Sus scrofa: one gene and its partners. The protein of the gene in region 3 purifies or fractionates together with the protein of the main gene of each other region. This does not show direct contact. Links are inferred from orthologs where the notes say so. Each region holds a gene or a part of one and is shown on either strand. Other genes may lie near its edges.

What was found. The genes of interacting proteins can lie anywhere in the genome.
Region 1: the proteins of ILF2 (region 3) and SF3B1 fractionate together in Homo sapiens (co-fractionation; 3 studies listed by BioGRID and IntAct, with this or other methods). This does not show direct contact. The link is inferred for Sus scrofa from reciprocal best matches to the Homo sapiens genes ILF2 and SF3B1.
Region 2: the proteins of ILF2 (region 3) and STAU1 purify together in Homo sapiens (affinity purification with mass spectrometry; 3 studies listed by BioGRID). This does not show direct contact. The link is inferred for Sus scrofa from reciprocal best matches to the Homo sapiens genes ILF2 and STAU1.

Annotation. Positions count from the first base shown.
Region 1 is NC_010457.5:101,335,209-101,339,488, forward strand, and holds the start of SF3B1 (splicing factor 3B subunit 1), read right to left. Parts: upstream 2,811-4,280; 5' UTR 2,509-2,810; intron 1-2,508. Other genes in the region: COQ10B (coenzyme Q-binding protein COQ10 homolog B, mitochondrial), read left to right, coding at 2,981-3,102. UniProt on the Homo sapiens protein: Component of the 17S U2 SnRNP complex of the spliceosome, a large ribonucleoprotein complex that removes introns from transcribed pre-mRNAs.
Region 2 is NC_010459.5:50,849,364-50,853,521, forward strand, and holds the start of STAU1 (double-stranded RNA-binding protein Staufen homolog 1), read right to left. Parts: upstream 2,811-4,158; 5' UTR 2,774-2,810; coding exon 2,569-2,773; intron 492-2,568; coding exon 367-491; intron 1-366. UniProt on the Homo sapiens protein: Binds double-stranded RNA (regardless of the sequence) and tubulin.
Region 3 is NC_010446.5:95,979,401-95,983,716, reverse strand, and holds the start of ILF2 (interleukin enhancer-binding factor 2), read right to left. Parts: upstream 2,856-4,316; 5' UTR 2,734-2,855; coding exon 2,729-2,733; intron 2,029-2,728; coding exon 1,969-2,028; intron 1,753-1,968; coding exon 1,710-1,752; intron 1,269-1,709; coding exon 1,164-1,268; intron 779-1,163; coding exon 701-778; intron 598-700; coding exon 495-597; intron 1-494. UniProt on the Homo sapiens protein: Chromatin-interacting protein that forms a stable heterodimer with interleukin enhancer-binding factor 3/ILF3 and plays a role in several biological processes including transcription, innate immunity or cell growth.

The DNA.
Region 1 (4,280 bases), on a different chromosome or scaffold from region 3:
ATATGCTGCGGGAAGCAGCCCTAGAAAAGGCAAAAAGACAGAAAAAAAAAAAGAAGGTGCCAGAAATGAGATTATGTTAATTTTGAAAGCTTCCTTTATTTCAGGGAAAAAAACATAAATGATGTTTAAAGGTCTTATTCTGTCATTAAAATTCATCCTCAATCTGGTTTTGGTTCTTTGTTTTGTTTTTTGGCCACTCTGCTGGCATTTGGAGTTCCCGGGCCAGGGATCAGATCTGAGCAGCAGTTGTGACTGTATAGCTATGGCAATGCCAGATCCTTTAACCCACTGTGCTAGGCCAGACATCCTAAGTCCTGGTGTTGCAGAAATGCCACCAATCCCATTTCACAGCGGGAACTCCTCCATATTTGTTTTCACTGGAAGGTTGATTAAAAACTGTAACACAAAGTCATAGCCATCTCTATTTACCTGAAGCCTTTCTGGTTCTGTTCAATCTATATGCAGGATTCTGAAGTAAGCAAAAGGTCAAAAAAAGTATAATTCTAATGGACATTAATAATGAAAATCTCACTTGGAACAATCACATGAAAGGCAGAAAGTAAATGTATGTGTATGCTTACATCCACAAAAATTAGATATAACACTACCATAAACTCCCAATTACCCACACCCATTTCAATAATTATCAACAAATGATCAATTTTGTTTCATACACTCTATTCCTCCACCCCCACTAGATTATTTAAAAGCAAATCACAAACCTCATTTGTACCCGTAAAATCTTCAGTATCGATTTTTATTAAAGTAGATATTTTAGCTGAATTTCTCAGTTTTGTATATGCCTTTTTTTTTTTTTTTTTTTTTTTTTTTTTTAGGGCATATGGAAGTTCCCAAGCTGGGGGTCAAATCAGAGCTTCAGCTGCTGGCCTATGCCACAACCACAGCAACTTGGGATCTGAGCTGTGTCTGCAACCTACACCACAGTTCATGGTAACACCAGAACCTCAACCCACTGATTGAGGCCAGGGATTGAACATGCATCCTCATGGATACTAGTCAGATTTGTTTCTGCTGCACCACAACTGGAACTCACTGCATGTCTTTTTATATATAGTTTGTTCAAAACAAAACCCAAATAATGCCTCTTAAATCTTGGAAAGTTCAGCAGTCTCCTCACCCCCAGTTCTCCTTTACTTGACATTTGTTGATGAAATTAGGTCATTTGTCCCACAGAATTTTCCATATTCTGTATTTGGCAGGTTGTATCCTCTTGGTACCATTTAATATGTTCTATTCCTTGTTTAAACTGGTGTAACATAAAAGCTTGACCAGATTCAGATTCAATTATTTTGTCAAGAATACTTAATAGGTGGTGTTGTATCAAATATATTTTTGGCAGCATAACTGGTTTGGACTCTAACATACTGCTTCCCACAGGTCTCTGCTGAGTTTCAATTTACTACCAATCTTCTCCTATTGTAGAGACAGATTTTTAGCCCCCATTTGTGGAAGCACTGTCATCTACTAAAACTCAACCAGAGTTTATTATCACCTTTAAGTTTATATTATTCTTTCCTTTGCTGAGAAGTCAAATGAGTACTCTACACTGTCATCTATTACAAAAATTCCTTTATTTGCCTTATAAGTTTTAATTGGTAAACTATTCAATTGGGTGACTCAATTCAATAGATATTTTCTTGTGTCTGGGAAGAGTTCAGTGAGAAAATTTTGGATTTAACAAAAGAAGGCCTTGGCGTTCCCGTTGTGGCTCTGCGGTAATGAATCCGACTAGTATCCATGAAGATATGAGTTTGATTCTGGCCCTGCTCAGTGGGTTGCTGTAGCTGTGGCGGAGGCCAACAGCTGCAGCTCTGATTCAACCTCGAGCCTGGAAATTTCCATATTCCTAAAAAGTCCAAAAAAAAAAAAGCCTTATATTAAGTACACAAGTACATCATGTCTTGCACTGAAAATGTTAACAGGCCTTCTAGTTAACAATACCAGTAGTTTGCAATAGGAGTCAGTAGGATGTCCTAGTGCAATGCCTGTATTTTGTAGACAACTGGTAACCACTGGGGTATTGAGTGGGGGAGTAATACGGTTAAGATGTGTTTTAATGTAAATCAACTATACTTCAATAAAACTTTTTAAAACGTGTTTTAAAGCAATATGTTTGAGGCAATATTTAAAGTTCAAGACAAGAAGAGCAGGGACTGGGTATTCGAAAGTAATCTGATATTGGATTATTTCGATGCAGCTCAGAACCACCTCAATGGACAAGAACCTCCTGTGTTGTACTGGAAAATGCTTAATATGCTTTCTAGCAACGGATTTCAACTGCACAAAGCATTATCACATACGAACACCAATTAAAATGTTGCCTACACAGGCAGAAAGCAAACGCCCCCGAGTCTCTTTCCTAACGACATGGCCTTACACTGCCCTCACACCAACCTCACTGGGTAAGCACGGCAGGTACTGTATTAGACAATCATTAACAACAAGACTGACGGCCAGCAGGGATGGCAGGTCCGACCCAGCACTCACCGGTTTGGATAGTTACATAACTAACACCTAGAATTTCGGGCTTCCTCCCGCCCCCGGGCTGCGCTCATGTGGCGAGCCTCACGACCGGAAACAGCACCCAAGAGAACCGCGGCGGTTGACGAATCCGGGGAAGAGTTCCAGCGCGGGAAGGGGGGTGAGCGGTCACCGTGGACCTTACGTAAGGCGCCCAAGCGCGCGGCAGGAACTAGAGAGTGGCCGGCGGAAAGAGGTGGGTACCGATGGCCCTACGCCCCCTCTGATTGGCAGGAAGGATGACGAGCGCGTTTACAGGACGCCCTGCGGCAGTGGGAATGTGCGTCAGCTCTGCGCAATCTGGGAGGGAGAAGGGGCGTGTCTGGCGGCTCAGGGGGCCCGCCGATTGGCTGGAAGGCGCCGGCGCCGGGAAGGTCGGGCCCCGGGAAGGAGGGCGGTGCCGTCTGCCTGGTCCCAGAGGCGCACCGGCTTCGGTAAGATGTTTGTGGCAGCTCGGACAGGCCAGAGAACCTTGAGAAAGGTGGTCTCGGGATGCCGTCCAAAATCGGCGACAGCGACCGGAGTCCCGGCTCCTGCGCAGGGGCCTCCGCGGAACATCAGGTAATGAACAATGGGTTCGCCGCATTGGGGGTAGTTTTCCGCCCAGCCTTGCCGAGCAAAGGGACCGGGGTCATTTGGGGTGAAATAGGCGAGCCCGATGAGTTTCCCGGTCTCTGGAGAGAAAGGGTAGGTCTGCTGCCTTTGGGGCCGCGCGCATTCCCCGCCCGCCCCCCCGCGTTGGGCTGAGGCTCGCTGGCCTGTTCCGGATGCCCCGTCTGTTTGTAGTTCGTTGCCCTCGCGAGAGGCGGTGAATCATCCGCCTAGCGACTTTAGAAGCAGCTGATAAAGCAGCTCCGCGGAGGTGCCTTTGGGCTCTTCCGGGCCTACTTATGCTGCTCTCGGAAAGTTAACTGCAGCGCCAGAGTTGCGAGTTGATGGGTTTGTGGGAGTTTGTTGCCTGGCGGTGAGCGTGCCCAATGGCCAGACTTGCTTTCTCAGTTTCTTGTTAACAGTTTTTGCCCCCGGCCTTTGGTGCTTGCTAAACTCAATTGAAGCCGAAATAGGGGACTTGTGGATTTTGTTTTCCGTGCTGTTGGAGCTTAGCGATCCTGTAACACCTTGAGCCAGAATCTGCCTTCACTTTTCCTGGTTGTTGGGTTTTTTTTGTTAGGTGATGGAGGTGGAGACATGAAGGATTCCATACTTAGACCGCGTAGTTTCCATTTATTAATGACATTTTAATACATTATGCTCGAAAATTAAAATTAACGTTTAACATGAATTCCAGTTGTAAACTGTACAGGGTGGAGAGAGAAGGCACAAATTTGGATTCGCTCCAGAACTTTTAGATTCAATAAATTTTTTAAATACCAACAAGCCAAATTAGTAGCTTATTTTATTTCTACTGTTCTGCTTCATTTAGCAGAGTAACTATTACTAATTTTTATTGGTATACTACCACTTTAAAGCAAAGTGTATGAGTTTACTCAGAAAATGTTGTTAGTATTATTACTACCTTTAAAATTCACTGAACATATTTTTAAGGATTTTCAGGAACACATGACACCCTTAGTCTAAGAGATGAATCTACGGGATAAGTTCATTCATACAGTTCATGTATTTGATCCTTTTCCACAGTCATGCAGCATTTAGTTAACCATTTTCATTGACTTATCTTACATTACCTTTGGAAATAAACCCATCTAATTTTTATAAACAGCTTTAATTTTTCAAAAGCT
Region 2 (4,158 bases), on a different chromosome or scaffold from region 3:
CAAACAAGCAGGAAAGGAGCCAGAGGAAGGCTGTAGCCAGGAGGCTCGGAGCCTGTAAAACTCACAGGAAATCATTCGCAGGTACTTGGGAATTGTCTCTATTCAGAATCTTAAACAACCACACACTAATTGGAGTTTTAAAAGCCAAATATCCCCCAAAAGATGCATTATCTTTTCTTTGACCCATTCTGCAAAGATGAAAAAAGAAGCGACTTGCCAAAAATCTGTACTTTTGCATCTCTTTCAGACAACCTCAGCAGTTAAAAAATACGTATTTTGAATCAGAGCACCACTTGCAACTATATAAAAAGAAAGAAAACATTCCTAGTGGGTTATAAACGCACAAGCAGTATGGACAATATTTACCTTACAGTGAGCTGGACCTTGCTCACGCAAAAGCTTATACTCAGGCTGAATCTTGTTGAAACGGGCTAACTCATTCACAAGACACATTGGGGTTTTCTCTTTGGGGTGTGCCATATTAGAAGGAACTGAAAAATAATGTAAGAGCATTGAAGTCAACTAGTAGCATATAAGACTGTGGCTCTACCAGGGATATGAAAAATGAAGGTCTAAGGATTCAGAGCAGCCGTGATGCAAAACTGCAAACCACACTGGGGGCACAGTCTGAAGACACAGCCAGATCTTTTCTGAACCAGTTGAAGCCCGGTAACCTAGGAGAGGGTGTGTCTTCAAAAGAGAGAGAACAGAAGTCAGAGGAATAACTAAATTATGGCAGGCACGCAAGATTTGAAATCAGATGAAGCACTGCTATTATACACAAAGGAATAACCAGGAGATCTTTTGAGCAGAGACACACACACACTGGTTACCACAACAGCTGTCAACTGTACCCTGTTCGTTATTTCACAAAACGCAACATGCCAATACCATTTCTCAAACAACGACTGTCGTTTTCCACACAGCTAACTTCTCATTCTTGGTACGTCCTCTAGTCTTATCACCAGAGGCTGCCATCCTCAGGCTTTATCTATTTCTGACAATTATACAAGAAAAATAAAATGGCTTTGGCAGACAGGACTTTTATAAAATTAACAAAATGTGGATATAAGAACACATGAGAAGAAACAGCAATAAATCCCAGAGGACTGAAATAGTCTGTGCCATTTCCTATTAAGATGGCATTCAAATGGCAAATCTGGGGAACACTGACTCTTTAGGGGACTATAACAAGGTAAGAATGCTATTTGGTGAGCCAGTCCAAGGAAGTCTAGAGGTAGCATGATAGATGCCATGCAGATGAGAGTGGGACAAGGTAACGCTCTAAGAACAGATTTAAAAAGTAAAGAAAATGAGAGGATGAAGGAGGAAATGCAAGCGAAACTGTCAAGCATATTGAGTTGAAAAGAATTTGTTAGAAGGTGACTCTAATATAGAGACACCCATGCTGATACCCCATTTAATTGGTGTTGCAACTTCGGCGGAGGCAGGGGAGGTTTGGGAAGCAGAATATTGTTTTCAGGAGGTTCTTTTTTCAGAGGTGTCATATCCTTTCTGATGAGTGAGAGTATTTAGTTCGGTTTAATTTCCTAATATTCAAATATGACTGCTTCTCAACTTATTTCCTTTCAAAAAAAAAAAATCTCTGCTTCTTGGGAGTTCCTTGGTGGTCCAGTGATTGGGATTTGGTGCTTCCACTGCTACGGCCTGGGTTTAATCCCTGCTCTGGGAACTGAGATCCCACATCAAGCAGCTGCATGCTCCAGCCAAAACCAAAAAAACCAAAAAACTCTGCTTCTTTGTTCCATTTCTAATTGGTCCACACTATGATTTCGTAACTACCTCTGGAACCTCAACTTAAACTTACTTTTTCAAAATAAATATTAATGAATGGTAACACACTTTTGCTTTCCAGTAAATCTGGCTGCTCCCATGCTTGGGATAAATCTTATATATATCCAAAAAGGAGGCTTACACCTACAAGTCAGTTCTGGGAAATAAATTTTTTTTTTTTTTTTTTTTTTTAGGGCTGCACTTGCGGCATATGGAAGTTCCAGGCTAAGGGTCAAATCGGAGCTGTAGCTGCAAGCCTATACCACAGCCACAGCAACGCCAGATCCAAGCCACATCTGCAACCTACACCACAGCTCACAGCAATGCCAGATCCTTAACCCACTGAGCGAGGTCGGGGATCAAACCCGTGTCCTCACAGATATTAGTTGGATTTGTTATCGAGAGCCACAACAGGGAACTCCTCTGGGAAATAACTTTAAAAGCAGAAATTTTCCCATATAGTAATGAATATCCAAAGTAGTATTTATTATTCAATTCTTTCTGCCATCCACCACTTTATAACACAGTAAACTTTATAGTTTAGTTTCCAATTTTCTTTCTCACACTTCAAAATGGTCTGTCCAAGGCCTCCATCAACCCAATATACAAACAAGTGTTTCATATCTGGGATAAAGAAGTGTGGGCAGTAATACTTTCTTCTGCTTCCTGAAGATAAATGTGTGAGAGCTCCCTACATCTGCAATCTACTTATCAGATCAGAACACAGGCTAAGAAAACATTTGAAACAGAAGACACTTGGAGTCATACGCTTACCTGCAGCTGCACTGGTGGATGTAATAGATGCAGAGGGTAAAGCAGAGTTTTGGATAGGTCTACCTGCATTTTCAGAGGGCAGAGAGCTAGTAGTAGAAGGAATACTCATCAAAGGCTGTGAGAGAAGAGACTGGTTCTTGTTCAGTATTTGGCTCCCTGAGAGAGCAGCAGATGGGTTCTGAACTTGCACTTGAACTTGAGACATGGTCACTTTCAAAAAAGTGAACAACTGCAGGTAAACAGCTTTCAGTGCAGGTTAATTCAGTGCTATGAAGTCTAAAGTTCTACCTGAAAGTTGTAGGGAAAGAAAATAAAAAGATAAATTATAGAGGAGATACGTAATTGCCAATATTCAGTCAAAACTGGTGTCACCTACTCAAGTATGAAAATAGCCCCGTTTAGTAGGTAGCTATGTTGATGTATTAGAAATGTGTTTCTCCTTGTTATATGGTAGGTTCACTAGCCTTATGACTTTCTCATAGTGTTTTTAAACAACTTATAATACCCACACGCTCTGCATGTTTATTTTACAAAGAGAACCAGCAGGGTATAATATTTATTGTTGAATATTAAGAATCATAAACCACAGCTTATATTCAAAAATGCAAATTTAAAAATATGAATAAGTTTTCTATTATATATGCAATACAGTAAAGGTTTCTGATCTCAAAATGATAAGAAGCTGAAAGCAAAATGGATTGGTAACACCATTAACAGGTGATTAAATACTGCTTCCATTTTAGGGCCAACTACTTAGGCTGGCACCCTGAGAGCTTTCCTTTAAGTTGACTGAAGAAAGAGAGGAATTCCTCACGTTTGCTGTTTCTTTTTCCTTATGATGATAAAGATCTCTTTGTTTTCACGAGAGGTTTGTTTGAGATGGTCATATTTATTTATAGGCCCCAAACAAGAACTGAGGCACCCACATCAATGCTCATGACCCTGAGAAATTATCTGAATAGGAAAGAACATTCTATAGTATTTGTACTATTAAAAGCAAAAGTGGAGAGGATGAAGAAGAGAGGAAAAGATTTCAGACTGGCAATTTTTCTACTGGTAGCGGGTAGAGCCTGAGGAACAGAGGAGACTGTTTACAGCATCTTCCAAAGGCCTTGCATCTAAAGACATTTAAATTTATTCATGAGTCAAAAATAAGGGCAGTTCTGCATATTTTCATGGCCATCCTTCGAAAAGCTGAAAATGTTTAAGTCAAAAGTACTAAAAAATAACAAGCAACAAAGAACAGAAAAAGCCAACCAAGCAGAAAGCAGCAAACTAACACATCTATTACAGGGTAATTTTTGTTACTTTAACTTTTTTTTAAGTCTCAAAATGATTTTTAATTAAAGCTGAACCTCTAGAAAGACATGAATGACCAGAGCCATTAAGTTACTTGAGAAGTCCTGGCACATTCTCTCTTGCTGAGAAAAAAAAGAACCATAAAACTCAAAACAAGACAAACAAAAGTCTTAAAATATGACTTTGGTTAGTAGAAGCATAAACTTTACCTTATACCACAAAATTCCCCAATACTGTAGTTGTTCACTGTTTACATCTGGAATCAGAACAAAATAACAGAGATCCACTGAA
Region 3 (4,316 bases):
ATACATCTCTAAGCTACCCTGCACCCTACTTCTGCTGGAACAAGGGAAAGTTAACACCTGGACAGAGAAACTGGAAGGCTCAGGGAATAGGACATCCCCTCCAGCACACACATCTTTTTCTGCAGTGGCACTAATGCCCTCTTGGCTTAGATAATTCTTTGTTTGGGGTTGGAAGGGAGGGTCTGTCTTGTGCACTGTAGAATGCTTAGAGGTGACCCTGAGCTCTACCCAAAAACATTAGCCCCCAAACACCTCCAGGCGCTGCCAAATGGGGGAACAAAACCACCCTCAGTTGAGACACACTGCCCTTTGGTAACTGGCCATACTTTTTTTCAGATACGACACATTAAAAAAATTTTCCCACCCGCCAAAATAAATATATTTCCCACCTGTCTTCTAAACAGCCTTTCACACAAGATACATGGGCTTTAAAGATCCCTATACCTCAAACCCAAATATGTTCTGTTTCCAAGGCCAGGGAAAGGCACACTCACGTGTTGGCAAAATCTTTAGGATTACCACCAGGTCAGCCACATTGTGTCCTGTAGTCATCGTTCCCTTTTTATATGATCCAACTTGTCGGACTTCTTCGATTTGCTGTTGGAGAGAGAATTTCAGAAGAAAAACCTTAGAGCCAAGCAAGGCAACTTCCACACTACCAAGGCCACCCTTCCCTAGGACTAAATCATCAAAACCTCACCACTTCAAATGTCCCTGGAGCCACGATCAAGTTGTCAATCACATTATTTATTTTTGTCACCAAAGAAAGGATAGAGGCCTGAAAACAGCAGGAAACAAAAATACCATAAAGGTGAAACATGATAAGCAACTTCTCATCAAGTTTGAATGTTTTCCCCTAATCCCTGCAATACAGGCTCAATCAGTACCTACAACGGACTCTGAAAACACTCTGGACCCTTCTGGCTTTGAATATGCCAGAAGAGAAAACTTTGATCCAAAGATAGATGCCCCAGTAAAAATATAAATGCACACATAATTTGTTTATATCATCCCTGGTGCTCTCCCTCCACCCACAGTGAGAAATAAGGAGAACAATTAAACCCTCTGGGGAGGGCAGGCTCTGATAAGTGTAACGGCACCAGTAGTTATTTACTTCTCTACTTCATTCGTGAAATCTCAGGAGGAAAACTAACAGAATATACCTGCTCAGCTGAATTAGGAGCCAGGTCCTGATTCCTCTTCAGTAAGGCCTCACTGAAGGAAGTTTCATCAGGTGCTGGCTTGACCCGAGGAAAGGCCATTTCACACTAAACCAGAAATAAACAATTTTATACTACCCACCAAAAATAACATAAAATAAAGATTGTTTTTTCCTGTTGCCACAAAACAAAAAAAAGTTGAAAAGAGAAAATTCTAAAACACTTATTTTTAACTCCATAAAATATTTAAACAAGCATAGAAACTAGAAGAGCCATAATTTAAGCTCTCACTACCGTTACATTAACAGATAAACCAAAGATACAATTAACTGTTCAAAACAAAGATTCTAATCCTGTTACTACCAACTGTAGTCAAGGAACTATGTTCCCCACCCAGTTTACACTGCTTTTGTATGTAAAGCAATACAGGCTGACTCAAAACCCAATCCCACTCACTAACCCCCTTTCCTACTCCAACCACCATTTGACTTTATTAACAGGGAGACCCTAGGCTCCAGGAAACAAGTGAACTGCGGTCAAGGTACTCACCAAATAGAAATCAAATGGGATATGTGGCACAAACGGCCTGAACCTAAAAAATGAAAAACAAGTCAAATTATTCACCACAGAAATCAAGTGGTTTTAGCATAAAGGGGCCAGAACTCTCATTTAGGAGAGCACGGAAAGAATGCTTCTAAACCACAGCTGGAGCTCACAAAAGCAGGTAAGATTAGTCCGCTCCAAACACCCCATTTAGGTGACTGAAATGGAAACTAAGTGTGCAGAGATGCTAAAAACTGGCACTCACCCTCCTCCTGGGCCTCCTCTGGAACCAAAGCGCCCGCCACGACCACGGCCTCTGTCCCCCCTAGAAATGCATAAATACATTTTTAACTTGGTTCTCACCGCGTTGAAACGACCTCCACCATACCGGCCATATGATTTCAAGTTCGCTTACCGCCATCTCCGTGAACTTCCGTTTGGAAGCTAAGAGATCCCATTCCCACTGACAACACTTGCTCTCCATCCGTCCCAAGCGCCCAGCCTCAACCCCCAAGACCGCCTCCTTCTGGGTAATTTAATCACATCAAATACTGACGAGGTTCAGTGAGCCCTACAAGAAATGCCCCATAATTCCCGGGGCGCGCCAGCCCTAATACTTCAGAGACTAACGAGATTGCTCATTTATTCGTAACTAGTAAAAGCATCTAACGGCAACCCTATACGTCAAGCACTTAGCCTGGAGTATGAACGAGGCACGTTCAAGCCTTCTCAGTCTAGATGGTGGTCGGGGTGGGGAGGTGGTCCTCCTGGGAGGTGAGGACAGCCCCTCATCTAACCGCCCCCGCTCCCGCTTCCCCTTGCCTGGGCCCCACCCCCATCCCTGGCCCACGTTTCCCCGCCTCCGCGGCCCCCGACTTCCCCCACGCTCCCAAGCGGGAGTTCTCAGATTTCCGTGCAGCCCCCAGATACACGGCCCTTCAAGACCTCCGAGTCCTTTCAGCCCGCGTACCCAAAGTTTTTGGTCGAATACTCGAAACCCTTCCAGAGCACCCCACGACCCTTACCTCATGGCGTCCCAAAGTCCGAACAATGGAGGCCACACCAACCGCCCCTTTCCTCCGAGAAGCCCTCAACTGGAGAGGCGGCTTGCCGGCGTATGCCAACAAACCCCGGCGTGATTGGCTCCCGCCGTTCTGCACCACTTATGCCTATTGGTTCACTTCAGCAAACCGGGTTTATGAACCAATAAAAAGCCCCTACTATGTCAGGGACCAGCCAATAAGAAAGGACTTGACAGGAAAGACTTTTTTTTACGGACACCAGGGGGCATGGTGTAGAGCAATCAGGTTGGCTAACACTCAGAGAACTTTCTATACGATTTTTGAAAAATATCTTGCCGAGCTAGCAGAGTGGCGCAGCGGAAGCGTGCTGGGCCCATAACCCAGAGGTCGATGGATCGAAACCATCCTCTGCTAGGAGAGCTTTTCTTTCTTTTCCCCCCTCCTTCCCACTCCAGGACAGAAACTCTTGTTTTTCTAGTAGATGTAAATACCGCACTCCTATGTTTTCCTCCTTAGAAGCTAATTTTTGCCAAAAGCAGGCAAATGGCGCAAGCAGGCGAAATGGAATAGGAAGGGACTTAGGCAACTATGACTACACGTCTGGATGTAGTTCACAGAGACTAGAAACTTGAGGCAGGAGAAGCGGATTTGAATATAATAATTGAATCGGAGAGGAGAAATACTGATGTGGAGGGGCTAGAAGGCAAACTGAGACAGCCTCAGGAAAGAGAGTTCAGATGAAGAGAACAACGGAAATGACTGGAGAAAAAGACCAGACCCATCCCTCTTGCCCAGTATCCCCTCATTTCTCCTTTCCTCACTCGGCAACCTCCCTGGTGGATTTTACTCTTAAACGAAGCTTCACAGCCACATATAAGGATAAACTGCTGTTGCATTTAAATCAATCATATTACAAGTTGCTCTTTGTCCTGTTTCTCCCTCTTCTTGCCTTCTTTTTCACTGACTAATATTTATTATTCCTTCCCTGCCTCTGTCAATAGAAAGTTACGCACTTTTTCTGCTCCCTCAGTGGTTACCCTAAAAATTTCGTGCCTCCTTGAAAGGGCAGAGTCTAATTTTACCCTCCTCGTGAAAAATGCAGGAGTAATTTAATTCAATTTACCACACTGACTCTAGAATTATATATACTATTGTGTAACTTTTAAGTATTACATTGACGTATTATTTACTACAGCAAAATGCACAGATCTTAAATCTACAGCTCCAATATTTTTGAATAATGTATTCTGCCCTTGTAATCACCGCATAGATTAACATAAAGAATATTTTTAGCACCTGACAAATTTGGCTTATACGCCTTTGCTCTCCCCCTGGAGGCAAACACTATTCCAATTTCTCTTATTGTAGATTGGTTTCGTCTGCTCTTCACATAAATGGACTCACAGCCTATGTGTTCTTTTTCCTCTGGCTTCTTTTGCTTGGCACATTTCAAAATTTTTCCATGTTTCTGCATTTATCAGCAATTTGTTCCTTTTTACTTGTTTATTTATTTTAGCCCCACAGGGCATGCGGAAGTTCCCAGGCCAGGGATTAAACCCAAGCCGCAGCAGTGACGAGACTGACAGGAGTG